Mytilus edulis: one gene and its partner. The protein of the gene in region 1 purifies or fractionates together with the protein of each later gene. This does not show direct contact. Links are inferred from orthologs where the notes say so. Each region holds a gene or a part of one and is shown in the gene's direction. Other genes may lie near its edges.

Region 1 (8,540 bases):
TATCATGTTTTCACCACCCTTATTCTGCGACCTCACTACCATTATCACGATCTTACTACACTCATCATGTTCTCACTGTGACTTTATCCGATTGAAACAAGATTTTACCATGCTTTTTCTGCGATCATAGCAAGCTTTGACCATGATCATTCTATGATCTTACTACATTCATATTGCGTACTATGGTCTTGGAACAGCGTAGTATTAACGTGGTATAGTCGCAGTTACGCAGTAGAAGCGTTGTTGCATCACGGGGAGAACGTGATGGTCGTAGAGAGGTCACAGTAACATCACTCTGAGATTGTAGCGCAATCTCTCTTACTAGAATCGCGCTTTCGCTTTGCTCTTGCTACGATGTCACAGCAACCCTTGCGATCCAACCAAGTACTTACTGTGCTCTTGCTACACTTCTACTACTGACTACAATCTGATTTCGTCATGTCCACAGGATTGTTTTGAACATTTTCAAGTTGGCCACAATCATCACGATCATGAGACCTCAACACGACTGTACCATGACCTTACTGTGATCTACACGACCTTACTGTAATCTACACATTATTGCACTACAATCGTCAAATTTGCAAATTTTTAAAGCGACCATTGCGATCCAACCACGAACTTACTGCACTCCTGCATAACTTCTACTACGATCTGATTTCGTCACGACCACAGGATTGTTTTTGGTACATTTTCAAGTTGGCCACAATCATCACGATCATGAGACCTCACCACGAACGTACCACAACCTTACTGTGATCTACATGATTGCACTACAATCGTCAAAATTAGCATTTTTTTAAGAGATTGTAGTGCGATTGTGGCCTAGTGTGACTGCAGTATTAGTTTCATAATTTTTGGTTGAGGCAAACTAAAGTTAGGAAACAGAAACCTATTTTAGTGCCTACGGACAGACAGACAGATGAATAGACTGACAAGGGTAAAACTTTATGCCCCCACTGGTATAAAAAGGGGGTTCATGGTCCCAAATGATTTGTGTGATGCCGCCTCGTATTAAGATATATAACAGATTCAAACCTTTCTGATTCACCAAGCATGCAATCCTTTAGTTGAACTAACAGTTCATTTAGATGTTGCCATTCTGAAAAGCTTTCTGGCGAACTGGAACAAGCTGATTTGACTGCGGAAAAGGTATTTTCCATTTTAGAGGCAGTATTTCTTTTCGGGCTTTCAATGTTACATTCTTACTCTTTTCCCTTGTTGTGTTTTACAGTTTCAAGATTGCGCAATCCTTCCGAAATTTCAGTATCTGGTACCCTTGATAAATATCAAATGATAAACCAGTCCGGATCTAGAACCTAATCAGTAGTCCCGAACCCGTAACAGAGTTTTCGAGAAATATGTTGAATTTGTTATATTATTCTATGCAAAATATATGGTAGCTTGCGCCAGGGACTGTATATACCAGAGACATATAATAATGTATTATATGTCTCTGTATATACTAATATAGTTAATAAAGAAAGTCACTGCTTGTGCATCTTAACATTCGACTGCAGATTTTGATAAAACTCTCGTAAAAGAATTCTGGGTCACTGCAGATTAAAATTTCATATAATAACTTCGTTTTTTCGTTAAAATACATTGAAATAATGAAATCAAATGCGGCTACTTTATATGGGTTATACTGTGGAATTTATAGTTTTTCTTTAATGAGGAAATATTTAAGAGGGTGTCCATGGAAAAACCAGGCACTGGGTGGCACATGACATATTTTGTTTTCAAAATTTTTTCATCTATTTCATATCACAAATTCATTCTTTCTTAAAGTTGAATTTTGTTTTTTATGCAACAAATAAAGAGAAAAAAAATACATAGAAAGCACTGAAAATTCATCGAAAAGGGGAGATAACTCTTCATTTTGCACAAAATTTTGTTGTATTGTTAAAGAACTTTAAAATCATTTTCTGAGCCATCCACTGTTCATTCAAAAATATCTTTGACATATATATCCTTTGTATGATATAAACATTGCATTGGAACCAAAAATTCTGACAGTGGGAAAAAAATTATGTTGTGCCACCAATATCATAGGATTTGCCTGATATTTACTTGGACAGCCTCTTAACTATAGAATTGATTACGATTGAAAGAATTGTTTTTCTTAAACACTCCTGAACTATTTGATAAAATTCTTTGTTGCTGGATGAACAAAAAAAAATTCTGTAAAATTCAGTATATTTAACTGCCCTTCTTTCTAAAGGAAAAAAACAATACACAGATAGACTTTTTGTTATTTTCTAAGTTTTATTGTTAACATTTTATTATTGTTTAAATTAGTTTAGAATTGTTTAAAATTTTGAACACACACGGTGATCCGCCATCAACAACACCAGATAGTCCCTAAATAACCCATATATAATGTGAAAAATAAGACATCACAAAACAATTAACGTGGGTTCGGTCTATTGACATAAAAATTGGTTCTGAATGTCACGGGGGTAGTCAGCATTTTTAAATTAAATTTATCCTACATCGACACAGCAATCCGCAAAGTGTTTACAACCAATAACCTATCAATAATAAAGCATGTCAACCTATGTATACTCCAACATCGCTTAATGATAAATCAGTGAATTCAATATACTATTGACTTATAATGGTTAACTTTTTTGCAAATTGTGACTTGGACGGAGAGTTGTCTTACTGACACTCTCACTGTATACCACATCTTCTTAATCCTATCAAAGAAAATTCATACGGCAACGTCAGCAACAAGTAATGGTGAAACGATTTCGTTCAATGCAAAGAACAAATTAGAAATTAAAATAATTATACAGAGGAATCCATTCAATCCAAACCAGCAATATAGTCTTATATTTTTTTGGTAAATAAACTAGTTAAATAAACTTAAATCAGTATGCATTCACTAACTTATACTCTAGCTGCGTTTTGCTGCAATTTTTTGAATAATGTTTTAGAGACTGTTCACGGTATGTTTTTCTTTTTATGCCCCATCTATGATAGTACACATGTTCCCTATGATATGATCATTCTAATTCTAATTCCAAATTAAAGTGTTAACCCCAATTTCACGGTCCACTGAACATCGAAAATGATAGTGGGAGTGGGGCATCCGTGTACTATGGACACATTCTTGTTCTTTATATTTTGCCATGGTGATGTCCGTCTTATGTTTGCCTAAGCATTTTGACATTCCCTCAACATCATCTTTTTGTAAGTTACAATTGGATCGTGAATTTCATAATTGCACATGGTTGAGTTTGTTCCGTATTTATGAGTGAAAGTTTGTCCGACAAATTATAGAGTTTTTTACTACAATGAAATTTATAATATACATGTATAATTATGCGAGCATGAACAAAGTTCATGAAGTGTCCTAGTAAAATATGAGAAGGTACAGGTAAAATGTACTACGGAAGGGCAAGATGTACATTTTTCGTAATTTAATAATTTGTTTCTATAATATTCGAATATCTAAAACGAAAGTTCAAATTCGAAACATTGTTCTGCTCGTCTTAAACAATGACGTCATTCAACAATGAGCAAATCCCATACCGCATAGTCAGCTATAAAAGGTCCCGACATGACAATGTAAAGTAATTCAAACGAGAAAACTAACGGCCTAATTCATGTAAAATGAACGAAAAACACTGAATTGTGTAACATATAAACAAACGACAACCACTGAATTATAGGCAACTGAATTGGGACAGGCACATACATAGAGAATGGGGCGGGGATGAACATGTAAGCGGGATCCCAACCATCCCCTAACCTGGGACAGTGGTATAACAGTACAACATAAAAACGAACTACAATAAAAGTCTGTTAAAAAGTTTAACTCATCAGATGGATAAAAAAAATATGTTCTTAATTCGAGGTACACTGGCCATATACATATATTTGGATCAATGTAAGTGAGTTGTAAAAAATGTATGGCCTCATAAAGACACCCCCCCCCCCCTTTTTCCCTCCAAAAAAAAATCAACAAAAAACACTTGTCAAAGATTTTGTGCGAGAAGATATTTAGATGAAATTTTCTCTTAAACGTTTCAGATTTCTCTAAACAAATGAAATTTATCCACATGAACTCTTTCCTTCTTCATTAAACAGTTGTCGCGACTGATGTTCTTTTTAAAGGGCACTAGCTGTCAAATTCATGTTCACCGATTTCACTTAAATTATCGTATTTGATTTATAAGTTAACAATGTAAAACATCTATCCAAACTAATGAAAGTCTTAAATAAACAGTTTACAGGTCGAGAGCTCGAAACTATGTGGCTTCGTTTTGTGTGTATTTTAGGCTAGACGCCATCTAATTAACTATCGAGTTGACCTCCGAACACCTTTGATGACCATATAAGCGATACAAACATCAAATGTAGATCTAAATAGATTAAGCAAATCGTGCAATTAAATCTTCCATGGTCTGTTAAATCTTATATTATAGATTAGAAATAAATGTTTATCTCCTTTTTTACCTGTATAAGAATGTTTTTAGTCAATCGAATAAATTACCTTTGTTTCATTTTCAATGTAGACATTATTTTCCTTTAAATAACATTACACGAACAATTCATGCGTTATCCATCTCTAACTAAGGGGTTAAATTGAAGTTCCCATGAAATACGGATTTACTGATGAGGTCGAGTTATTCGGTCTCACTAATTAGCAACAAGAAGAATTTTAGCGACATAAGCGTCAAGAAGCGACAAGAAGAAGAATATTAGCGACAAGAAACGACAAGAAAACATTTTTTTTTTTATTAAAATAACTTATTCCAAATAAATATTATTCATCATCAATGTTTTTCTAGAAGTAAACTTTCCTTTCAACGATGCTGATGACTCATTATTAAACAGAGGACAACTATTGTATATCAGATTCCTGACTTAGGACAGGGGCAAACATTTGCAGCTGGAAATTAAACGTTTTAATGGTACAAAACCTTCTCCCTTTTCTGAAACAATAGTAAAACATCACTATGTTTGAATAATTTATTCGTCTTTAGTGTCTTAAACTATCTGCTAATGGCAGTGAATATACTCATTTATATATGCAAAATAAATTATTGAAATGCCAATGTGACCAGTTTTGATATAAACACGAGGATAAAGAAATATGGTCGGCAAATCAAATATTTCTAAATAAAGACTAGGTCCACTTCCCCGTCCCCTTTTATGCTCAAAATCAAAAGAGAACTTTTACGTTATAAATAAATCTAAATTTCACAAATATAAATTGCAGGTAAATTTATTAACATTTTGCGTATTATATTCAAACACTGGTTACTAGGTCGGAAATGGTTTATTTATTTTGTCCTTCAAAACAGAAACAAGAAGTAAATTTTAAGATGTAACCTGATTGGATAAAAAAAAGTTCTGTAAAACAGGCCACAGACCACAATTAATTCCTCTATCAGTTCTTTATAACCTTTTGCATCATTAAAAAAATTGCACCATGCACTTTTGTCCAATTTTTTGTGTGTGTAATGTATTGTCCTAGTCCAAATATATATCCAAAATTCAGAAAGATTGAAGCAATCACTTTTACAAATTTAGCCAATACACATCCATACCCCTATTGACAAGTCAAGAGATGTTCCGAAAACTGTAAATATCACCTTTTTGCACTTGACCTAATCACTCATTCCATATCAAAATCAGTTAAAATACAACCTCCAAAAATTTATTTGACTCCTCTTCTTTCATTTCCACCCAAAAAGATTTAAGGAATGAGTGAGGAAAGGAAAGAAAAAAAATTAAGGAAAAATACACTCTAATTAAAAGGAACTATATTCGTGGACAACGAAAAGCGGGGTCATTAATTGTGGTCTTGGGCCAACACATGTGAAGTAAACTTCGGACTTGCAAATTACAAATATGCCGATTAGAAATTTAAAGGTGAATGCAGTGATGACAACACATGTTTATTGCTGAAAATGACGACAAAACGTATTCCCTATGTTGCACATTTATCCACTTTGCAAACTCTTACACATAATTTTGCTTACTTACGAAATTATACCGTGGTCACGAAAACTTGACATTCCCATGTCATTGATCAAAAGTCTGAACAGTGAAGAGTTTTATTAACAGTGTGCATGTATTCTTTTAAAATGCCATACAGCCACTTACATATGGAAAACATAGAACATTTATGTTTTGCAAATCGTACAATTTTTCCCATCTAACATGCCTGACCTAATGAGTTAGGAAGCCAGGAACATATAAATTATTGATGCGACTAGATACTACCTGATTATAATTTAATTCTGGATGTAACATGTCTTCTGATTGGCTGACTTCGTTTTGTTTATCACCCTATAGACATAATTTTGTCATGTGACCGTGACGCCATCAGCGTTTTTTTTATGATTTACTTATAGTATAACTAATCTCCGTATTTGAATATCAAAAATAAGACAACGCATGACCGAACGACACATGGATTAAACGAGTGCGCAGCACGAGTTTAATCCATAGCGGCGTTCGGTCACAAGTTGTCTTATTTTTGATATTCAAATACGGCGATTAGTTATTCTTTTTATTACATTGGTAAATGGCTTTTTTTTAATGAAATTAATGTAGAAAATGTAAGGAACTATATCTTTTTCCTACGCATTGACAATTTGTTTTGATCCGACGTTATCGATGTCTTGACAACGCCTATTGTTGTATGATGTCAGAGAGTGAAATAACCACGTTTATTTCACATTTGAAATTATCGGTTTTTATCTAACTGGGAAATCAATGAAATTCATTGCAACCAATGTAATAATCCAGTTTAAAATGGAATTAAGAATTAAATTATAAGAAATGATTGTTATATTTTTTCTGCCTTTCAAAATAGCTACGCACTTTATTCAGTGTGCACCACATTTTTTATGTTATTTCTTCATAGACAGAAAAAATATTACAGTCATTCCTTAAGGGCATACGATACAGTTACAGGGGAGGTAATGACGTTGCTAACGTAAATTGTTATTTTCGCAACATCAAACTATGACTTATCGGGAAAAGATTCAGTTTTCGGCTTATTTTTATCATTCAAACTTCATGGACCCCTCTGTTTTAAAGTTCCATTTGGTTTGATTATGTGAGAAGATTGTGTGTGCCTATTTTCATGAAAATGTAAATAGTGCAATTTTTTTTAATTTGATAAGGCCAGAATTTTTTAATTTGTTGGTTTACCCCATTTTGCTGATTTCCAGAATAAAAATAAAATTGACTTTTCATGCTTTTTTATTTCCGCCAAGCCTAACAAATACATTATCCCTGAAAAATAATTGATGAAATGAAATGCATTAATCACTAACAAAATTGATAACACTTTCTGTTGTGAAAAATAAAACTTCCGGTTTACGTTTCAAAAAATAGACAAATCAATAATAACTGACCTTGAAATGTCGTTTGCGCAAATAATTTTGCAGAACAAAATCTGTGTTTAAAATTAATTACACAATAAGTTCGTTTCCCTTATTTGTTATCAGTCCATAAGATGCATGATCTCATAGAAACAAACTTGGACAGGTGGAAGGCACCAAGTAAAAGTTCTGAATATCAACAAATCATTTAGAATTATCTTGTTTCATAGATAATAAAAAAAATATTGTCCACGGGAATGCATGACACCAGATTAACCCGATATTCTCGTTTTTCCAGTGTACGAGTCTATTACGTTTTTGACACGTGTGTTGAAACTTATTTTGGTACGATTTTTTTTTACATTTTTCTTTATCAGTTTTCGTGCTTTGAAGATCATTACTCACCAAGTTTTCTGGAATTGATTAAGAGCTATATACGCTAACTTGTTTTTCTTGTTTGTGAAATGACCATTTAATTTCGTCTTTGTCTGTGCACACACCCCTTTTTTACGGGAAATTATTAGACAATGTCATGCGATATTTATTACAGCTGAGCAAGAATATTTCTTCGAACTAAACTTTTTAAAGAATAATGACAAAAAAGCATAACAAAAATATTGTTAGAAAGGTGAAATATATATTTATTTTGCATATTTTTCTGTCTTGAAAGATCTTGAAAGATTTATTTTTTATTTTTTCCCCGACCAACCAACCCGACTTTTTCATGGGGAAAATCCGTAAACCAACAAATTAAAAAACTGTGGCCTAAATATATAGCAAAAAATGATGATTTTTTTTACATTTGATAAATATGAGTTATTTCTGAATAAAAAATGTATAATTTTTAGGATAATTACAGGGGTTTATCTGGGTATTTTGGGAAAAAGGACCCTGGCCAGTATAGGGAATTTTTTAACGCGGTTTTCAATGAAATTGGGAAAAACAACCAATATACCAGATGTTAGTTTTAGTGTGATTAGTTCATAAAATTATTTTTTGTTGGTGAAAATAAAGTAAGGACTACACCTTCTTTGTTTTTTAAATATAACAACATGGCATTTCAGTTTATTTGAGTATCAAAATAATGAGTTCCAACTTCTTAAAGGATTGTTACATTTTTTTGATTTTGACATGAAAATTTGTGAAATAAAATATTTTAAGTTCTGTATAAAATATATCCTGTTTCTA
Region 2 (8,391 bases), on another chromosome or scaffold:
CCCGTCGGCCAGGAAAGACCAACAAAAACGAGTTACATCGGTCAAACTCCATTTAAACTGCATTCAAAAGACTGGTGACATTTTAAATAAAGTGGAAGATGTGGCAAACCTGTGTCCAAACCCAAATGCTAGGAAGACCGTCTCGAGAGTTATATTTAGACTGTATATAAAGTAAATATACTATACATATAAATAGACTGTAATAAGTAATAACTAAGTTACTCTTTAGTAAAATATCTGCCTTCCAAATACAAATTAGAATAACAATTCAATTGAAAATGAACTGTATTTCACTGTTGTCCAGTCAGATGATTGGCTAGAAGTGACAAACTAGGGAAAATATTCCCACTTAATATCAATATCTTCGGCTATGCATATATCTCGTTAGAAGATTTTCTATAGGTCGTTCCTCAAAACACAGATTTTGTTTCGTTTCGTTGTGTTTCGTTTCTCAATTTACATGTTTTGTTTCGTTTCGCTGTTTCGTTTCGTTTCGCTGTGTTTCGTTTCGTTTTACCATGTTTCGTTTCGTTTCGTTTCGCTCTGTTTCGTTTCTGTATCTGTATCTGTATCTTGCCAATATAGGCACACCTTCAGTACGAAGTAATAAATCGAATATAAATCCAATCACCAATAGAATTATAATACAGTCTGTACACAATAAAAGTATGTCAATATATTCCTTCACCAATATCATATATCAAGTCTTATTCACGGAATTTAGAATATATTTACTTTTAATTAATAATAACTTACAGTCCACACACAACTACTACATAGCTAAATTTGACTTTCTTAAGTTTTTCTGTCCAGTGTTTAGGAGCTTGTATCTTTGCATATTATTATGCAGGATATATATAAGTGTTCTACAAGCAGGTTCAACATGCAAGCTAATAAAGCTACATAAATCACTAGTTTTGGTGCAAGCACATAATTTCACTAGATAGTATGGGTTAATTATCACATGGGTTAGGTTTATATCCAAACTAATGTTAAATAGTTCTACCAATCTAAGACATTGCTCACGTATCACTTTTAAAAGCTTTTCTCTGTCCGGTTGCGATGTGTTGCAAGCTAGAATAACCCTCTGAATTTTCATTTATCTTTTCTCTCCAGTAAGTATAAATTTTCCTTGTAATAATTTTTTTCCATTGGAATTTTCCAAGAGGGTAAGTTAGGAAATTCTGACAGTCTGGCAGATCACATTTTAGGCATATTTTCTTTATTTGTATGAACCAGCTTTTACTTGTATGTGTTTTTAATTGCAGCTGTCTTTCTGCCAATCTCCATTCAACTGATGTTTTGTTAGCTCTGGTGATATTTCCAAAAAGTGTTAAAGCTTTAAGGTGGATTTCAGCTTCAATTGGTAGCATTCCACTTAGTATGATCTAGTATGTATATAGCAGGGTCAGCTGTTTGTTGAGATAAAGAGAGTATTTGTTTAATAATTTTCTTGTGAAATTGGTTGATTGTGTCAAAAATGCTGCCTGTCGGAAGTAGTATTTCCAAACCATGATAGGTTAATATAGGCATAACATATGTATTTAAAAAAGTTATAGCTGTTTCAGGATCTAATCCATTCCTCCCATGTAAGCCTGCGCCCATTAGACTATATAATGATCCTCTTGCCTTCTTTATGTTAATATCAACAGTTAATTTTGCCGAGTTTTTCTGACACTTTTGTATACCAATATGTGAGGAGTGATCTACAACTGGCATAGGGTTATTGTTTATATGCCAAAAAATGTCCTCTATTTCAATCGATCTGGATGAAGTGTTTACATACCGGTAATATTACACTTTTTGTTGGTTGTAGAGTGTATCCCTCTCTCCTACTAAAATTGACTGCAATATTTACTAGCGTCTGAAGTTCTACTAGATTGTTTGCTATGATAGCAACGTCATCAGCACATGTTGGAGCACAGCAGCTAATATTGCCTATGTGTCCACCTATTCATGTGTCACATAAGAGGTTTAGTAGAGGGTTTACATACAACTTGTACAGATCTGCACTAATGGTACCACCTTGGCGTACACCCTGTTCTATCCCAAAGACTGCTGAAGTTTTATTTCTCCATTTTTATACAAGCTGTTGCATTTTTGTATAGACTGTCTATCAATATTATGGATTGATCATAGATTCCTGTTTGATATTATCTCCTTATAAGATTTGAATGTACGACCACACCAAATGCCGATTTACCATCAAGTAAAGCTATGTATGTTGGTAATTTGAGATCTTTACTTTCACGCTCAAACTCTTCAATAATTAATTCACATAACAGAGGGGTGGTGTTCTCGGTAAATGCTCTTTGTAATTGATTTTGTTTCTCCAGGATGATAGGGTTTTCCCGTAATTTAATTATCTTTTCAATTATTTTGGAGTATATAGGTGTGACTGTTATTTCTCTATAGTTTTTCGCATATCTTGCACCACCCTTATTCTTGAATACAGGAAATAGTGTACCAATTTTCAGAATATCAGATATACAGCCTAGTTCCAAAGATCTGTTGATAAGTAGTTGCAAATATTGTTGCAATTGTTTACCACCATATATGATATTTTCAGCGTTTACACCAAAGAAGTCGGCAGCTTTATTCCTATTTAGACATGATATTGCTTTTGAAATCTCTTCTTCTGAAATAGGGTTATGCTTGAAACGATCTTTACATATGTCAATTATAATTTTAGCTTCTTTTTCAATAAGATCTTGTCGATATTGAGTGTCATAATTTTGATTTTGTTCCTTTTTTGCAAGCTTATGAAAGTGTGAACGCCAGCCTTCAATGATATTATCGTTGTGATAGGTATTATCATCTACATGTAATTGATCTATAAATCTAGATAATTTTCCTCTTTGACCTTTTATAATTTTTATAAAACATGTTTCTGTCTGATGTTCTGACATTAATTAGTTTTTGACGTTTATTTATTCTACGTTTAGCTACTTCTAATCTGCATTCTTTACGTAGAATGTGCGTTGTTAGTTTATTCTTTTTCAGATATATGCTATCGGATTCTTTTGGACGTCCATTTAACTTCCAGTCGTGAAAAGCAAGTTTCTTCTTTTTGATAGCTTCTTTTATGGCGTCAATCATTACTTGTAGCTTAGGTCTTTTTTTCCCCAATTTTGATTGCTGGTGCTGCAGCTTTAGTAGATTTAACAATAATTTGATTGAGATTCTTGAAAGCGTTTGTTACATCTTCTATTGTCTCTATTGTTGGTTTGCTGTCTGGTATTTCTGAAGCAATAAGAGTCTCATATAGCTGTGTATCAACTTTATCCCATTTGATCTTACGTTTGACAGAAGTATTACTTGAATTGATTTGTTTCACAGGATGATGATATTGAAGGATCAGTTTAATTGGGTAATGATCTGATACATTAGATATTATGTATATATAAATTTTGAAATATAAAATAGTCAATGGCAGTGGTATCACATGCAGCCGTTTGAATGGATAAAAGTGCTACTATTATATTTTGTTTCGAAATCATGCTCTTTCATGAAGTCATTGACACAGGTCTTCCTTTGTGATCATGTTGGACCATTTACAATATCCTCGTTTAAGTCTCCTCCAATAATTATTTGGTGTGATTGTTGATACGTACTGACTATTTCATGTCACTGAGCAATGCAGTCTTGAAAATCACTAGTCTAAGGTGTTGAGATGATCCTTTACAAGGCAAGTATACAGAGAGAATAATTAAATTAGGATCACTAGTGACTTCTATTCCTTGAATTCTTTCGTTACCTATTGTTAATGGTGAAATTATTATAGAGTCTAAATCTTTTTTTCCATAATATAGCTATGCCCCCATAACCTCTAGGCATCTGTGTAGCAGGGATGGGATCTAATGAGTCAACTGCCTTGCCGACACCAGTAAGCTTGTCACTTATTTCATTTAGCATCGATAACTGTTCCGTTTCTCACTTTACCGGGACCCGAAATGGGTTTTTGAATGCTATGCCTAGTAGCAATAGAAAGGGATTAAGGGCAGCCATCCTTCTGTAAATTACTTTTCCTAAACAAAAACATTTCAAATAGAAAAATTGTGAATTTATACTCTAATCCGTTTACTGGAGCTGGTGGTCCTATATTTATAGGACGGATCTTCTACAAGACAAGACAAAACAAGATGGTCTGTTAATGTGCAGTCTCATTTAAAATTATCCCTGAAAATGTCTTAAACAAACAAAAAATGTTTTAGGATATAAATAAATACATACTTTATGAATACCCTAAAGTTTTTCCCCGTGTGAAACATGTTACCTGTTACCTGTTACCTTCTGTAGATCCCTCCTCTATCAAGAGAACCTGGAGTTCATCCAGTAAAATTTTGTTGCCTTATATTTACATCTGTTTCCAGTCACTATACATTTATCTTTAAAATTTTTTATCTATTTACAGCCTATGAGTTTGGTAAACCTTACAACTTTTAAATGTTTATTTACTTTCAAGGAGCACACTACGCTTTTCATGGAGCGAGTAACACAGGCTTCTATAGTGATTGATTCCACCAAATTTATGTCATTTTTCTCCAACACATGATACCACTCGAAACGACTACAGTCCAAGATTAATTGTATCATTTTCGAGTTACTAACGCAAATGTCAGTCCATGCAACAGTTCCAATCTTTGGTACAACAATTGTATAAAGCTTTGAGATAAAAATGTCTCTAATACTTGTTAGGGCAGAGCATACGACAAGAAAATGTTCTAAATGTTCAGTTCCTTCCTCACATAGCGGACAAATTGAAGTTTTTTGACCATTTGAAAATTTTGAACGGTGGTACTGTAGAATATATGTATCCAATAGCATTTTGATCTTATAACAGGCTTTACGTATACACATTTGTTCTGAACCAGCACTTTTCCATATGTCAAAGTTTACGGGAACCTGTGTGATTTTACGTAATGGCGGACAAATTTGCATACAAGTGTAAATACGTCTATTAACAACACCAATTTTACAGTTTTTCATATTTAGGTACCGTAATGACGGTTTTGATTTGGCTTCAGTAAACAGTTTTTCGGACCAAAAGTTATCAATACACTTTTTTACTTTCATTTTCCACTTGTATTTTGTCTCTGGTTTAAGTAAAACTTCTGAGGCACACGGCAAGTTATATTGTGCTCCGAGACGGAGGAATATATTTAGAAAAGACGATATTTACTAACATTATACATTCATTTCGCTTCCCGGTCTATTATTTTCCCACAGAAAAATTTATAAACTTGGCCATGTGGAGAAGAATTTAAATATTTAAAAATCAAAACCACTTGAAGTATTCTGACAAATACACCCTAGCGTAAGTATATAAAACTGTCATACCTTTGAAATAAAAAGAAAGTTAATTGAGTAAAAAGGCAATGAAATTGAAAATAACCTCTGACACTATAGTTTCATGTGCTCCATTAGTCCAAATGATTATGACGTCTGGCAAGGCTATTTTAATTTTTTCTCTGGGAGGAAGGCGTCCCAGAAAAAAATTAAAATAACCTTGGCAGACGTCATAAATATTTGGACTAGTGCCCCATCTAACCTCTGTCAAAACAAGTGGCTGTGATCCAAAGTCGCAGGAAGGTGTCACAGAAAAAAATAAAGGCCAAAAAATAAATAGCATTTCAAGGAGTCATAATTATTGTATATATATATTTGTAGCCTAGCCACAGGGGTTTGATACAATTTGCTGGGTGTATTAGAAATAGCTGAATTCATTTAATGTCAAAGAAATTTCAAGGGGCAGATCCAACCATCTTTTAAAGGGGGTTCCCAAATCATGATAAAAAAGGGGGGTCCAACTATATGTCCCTATTCAACTGCATTGATCATATTGATCATCAGATATATAAGGGTGTTTCCACCGCCGGGACTACCCTGGATCCGTCACTGAATCCCTTGTAAAAACCATATTCATTATATTCAGCAACAATCAAGATTCTACTTTGTCAACATTATCTCCCCGTTACACCACCATGACCACCTAATTTTTATAATCGTAAAAATGGAAGCCATATTTATATAGTGCTGTCACTTCCTGTTTCCATTTCTGCAACCCCACAATATCCACGTCTATTGTATTTAAGTGTTGTTTTTGGTCTTTTTTTGTCATAAAGGCAGCACTTGACGTGGTATAACATGTCAACACATTAAACGATTTCTTTGCCCTAACCAAAGTGTTGTTATCTTTTTATGGTTGTGACTAAAGTACATGTAGATCTGATCGTAGATAAAATGCAGACATCAGAATGTAATAAGATAGCTGAGTAGATAGATAAAATGTAGACCAAAGATTTAATAAATAGCTGAGTAGATAGATAAAATGTAGACCAAAGATTTAATAAATTAGCCGAGTAGTTAGATAAAATGCAGACGACAATTACTGAACATCAGCATGATCAGATTTCTGACTTAGGACAGGTGCTAACAAATGCAGGGGGTTTAAACATTTTAATAGGAACCAACCTTTACCCTTACCTGAAACAATAGTGTAAAATCACAACATACTAGAAAGACATAAAATATCAATTGAAATGGCTTAACTTAATCAAAAGATATATTATTAAAAAAAAAAAACATACACTGAACGAATAAATTTGATCTATGTCACAATGTAAATACACATCAATAAAAATATAAAGGTGTTAAATATTATCAGAAAGACAACAATAGCATTGAACAAAATGCTGCCAAGTAGAATAACGTAAATAGGTTAATAAAAATAATTTTGCTGTAAGGTCACACAGTCTTCACTCTTTACCACAAGTCCTAAGACATTGGCTTGTAAAATTGCATATGGGCTCGTAAAATTCTCCTAAAAGCCAACAAAATACAACCTTTTTTTCTTCAAAATTTGGAGCTTCTGGCTTGTGGATTTAAAAGTTAAGGGCGAAGGCAGAAGGTATACAATCATGGAGTACGGAAATATATTTTACATAACATTAATTTTGTTGTTCAAATTACGAGAACAGAAGTTATATTTGTTCACCAAGGACAGAACATTAATACTAGTCATGCTAGTAATTAACACATCATACTTTAAAGAAAATGCTTTCATGTTTTTTTTAATTTCAGAAGAAGTTGAGATGAATTGCATAAGAAGACGTCTGTTTCAGATGGCAAAATTGTCAAGAGGGAGACAACAGAATTTTAGAAAACAGACATTGCTCCACAGTGAAGGAGGGAATACAATGATGTCAACTTCTTACTTCTATGACAGTGAACATGCTCCCTTAATTGAGAAAGATTATACACTAGACTCAGCAGATAAGCCTCTTTTAGAAGGACTATTTACTCCAGAGACAGCTGCTGAATATTTAAGTAACCTATCTGAAGAAGAGCAGAAAAAACTGCAAGCTTATAAACTGGAATATGAAGTTACCAGTAGTATTTCAACACAGGTAACAGTTAGTCCTTGTATATATACACATGGAAAAAAGTATTGCAACACCTTGATTTTTAAAACTTGAAAAATCAGCCTCTTTTTTTGGATGAAATATAATAAAATATGTGTATAATATTATTGAAATATAGTTTATGATAACATTGGCATTGAAACGAACAAAAAATATTTGAAAAAAAAATGATTTATACAACCACAATTTTAATAACAAAATGAAGTGTTTTTTGTACAAAAAAATGCATTTTACAACTTTTACTGTCCATAGTCGAACTTTACAATGTCAGACATTTCAAAATTAATCTTTAGATGACTGTTCACATCATGGTTGATCGTTATACGCCAAAGAATTAGTACTTTGTGCGCAGCCTCCATTCAAACAGATAACCGCATCTTAATGTCTTCTGATTCCTGTCATAAATCGACTAATTTGTTGCTAAGGTAGCAGCAACCATTTCTGATGAAGGGCATTGTTTATTTCATGATGTGTTTGAACTGGGGTGTCCTTTCGCGCACTTTCCGCCCAATAGTGTCCCATATATGCTCGATATGGTTCAAAGCTGGGCTACGATCAGGCCAAGTAAGATGAACCAAATTTCATTTGAACATTGGATCTTCCTCCACGATGCTAATTTCCAACTTTGGCATGCTCTGCACTACATTGGATACGGAAAACTGTGTGTCTGTTCGTTAGCAAAGGTCTCCGAAATGGTCTTATCGCACGAAAACCAGTAGCTATGAGTTGATCTCGAACAGTTCTTGTTAAAAGGCTCCTGTATGGCCACCACTCTCTTTTTAGGATTGTCTTGTATGCAATGGGTTTCCTTCTGACCAACCTTCATTCTGCTTGATTTTCTCAGGCAAATGGTATAGGGGTCTTCATTATCTCGGAAGGGTTTTAACAGCGTTTATTGCCTGATTTTTATTCTCAAAACGACTTATAGTGGAATGGTGATGACCAACAATACGTGCAGTTGTTACAG

Evidence for each region.
Region 2: the proteins of 3-hydroxyacyl-CoA dehydrogenase type-2-like (region 1) and tRNA methyltransferase 10 homolog C-like purify together in Homo sapiens (co-immunoprecipitation; 3 studies listed by BioGRID and IntAct, counting the BioPlex papers as one, with this or other methods). This does not show direct contact. The link is inferred for Mytilus edulis from reciprocal best matches to the Homo sapiens genes HSD17B10 and TRMT10C.

The regions. Positions count from the first base shown.
Region 1 is NC_092344.1:67,261,251-67,269,790, forward strand, and holds the start of 3-hydroxyacyl-CoA dehydrogenase type-2-like, read left to right. Parts: upstream 1-5,320; 5' UTR 5,321-5,372; intron 5,373-5,828; 5' UTR 5,829-5,868; coding exon 5,869-5,889; intron 5,890-8,540. Other genes in the region: ataxin-10-like, read right to left, coding at 1,039-1,163. UniProt on the Homo sapiens protein: Mitochondrial dehydrogenase involved in pathways of fatty acid, branched-chain amino acid and steroid metabolism. Acts as (S)-3-hydroxyacyl-CoA dehydrogenase in mitochondrial fatty acid beta-oxidation, a major degradation pathway of fatty acids.
Region 2 is NC_092347.1:26,992,736-27,001,126, forward strand, and holds the start of tRNA methyltransferase 10 homolog C-like, read left to right. Parts: upstream 1-5,160; 5' UTR 5,161-5,317; intron 5,318-7,083; 5' UTR 7,084-7,094; coding exon 7,095-7,409; intron 7,410-8,391. Other genes in the region: uncharacterized protein, read right to left, coding at 2,154-2,909. UniProt on the Homo sapiens protein: Mitochondrial tRNA N(1)-methyltransferase involved in mitochondrial tRNA maturation. Component of mitochondrial ribonuclease P, a complex composed of TRMT10C/MRPP1, HSD17B10/MRPP2 and PRORP/MRPP3, which cleaves tRNA molecules in their 5'-ends.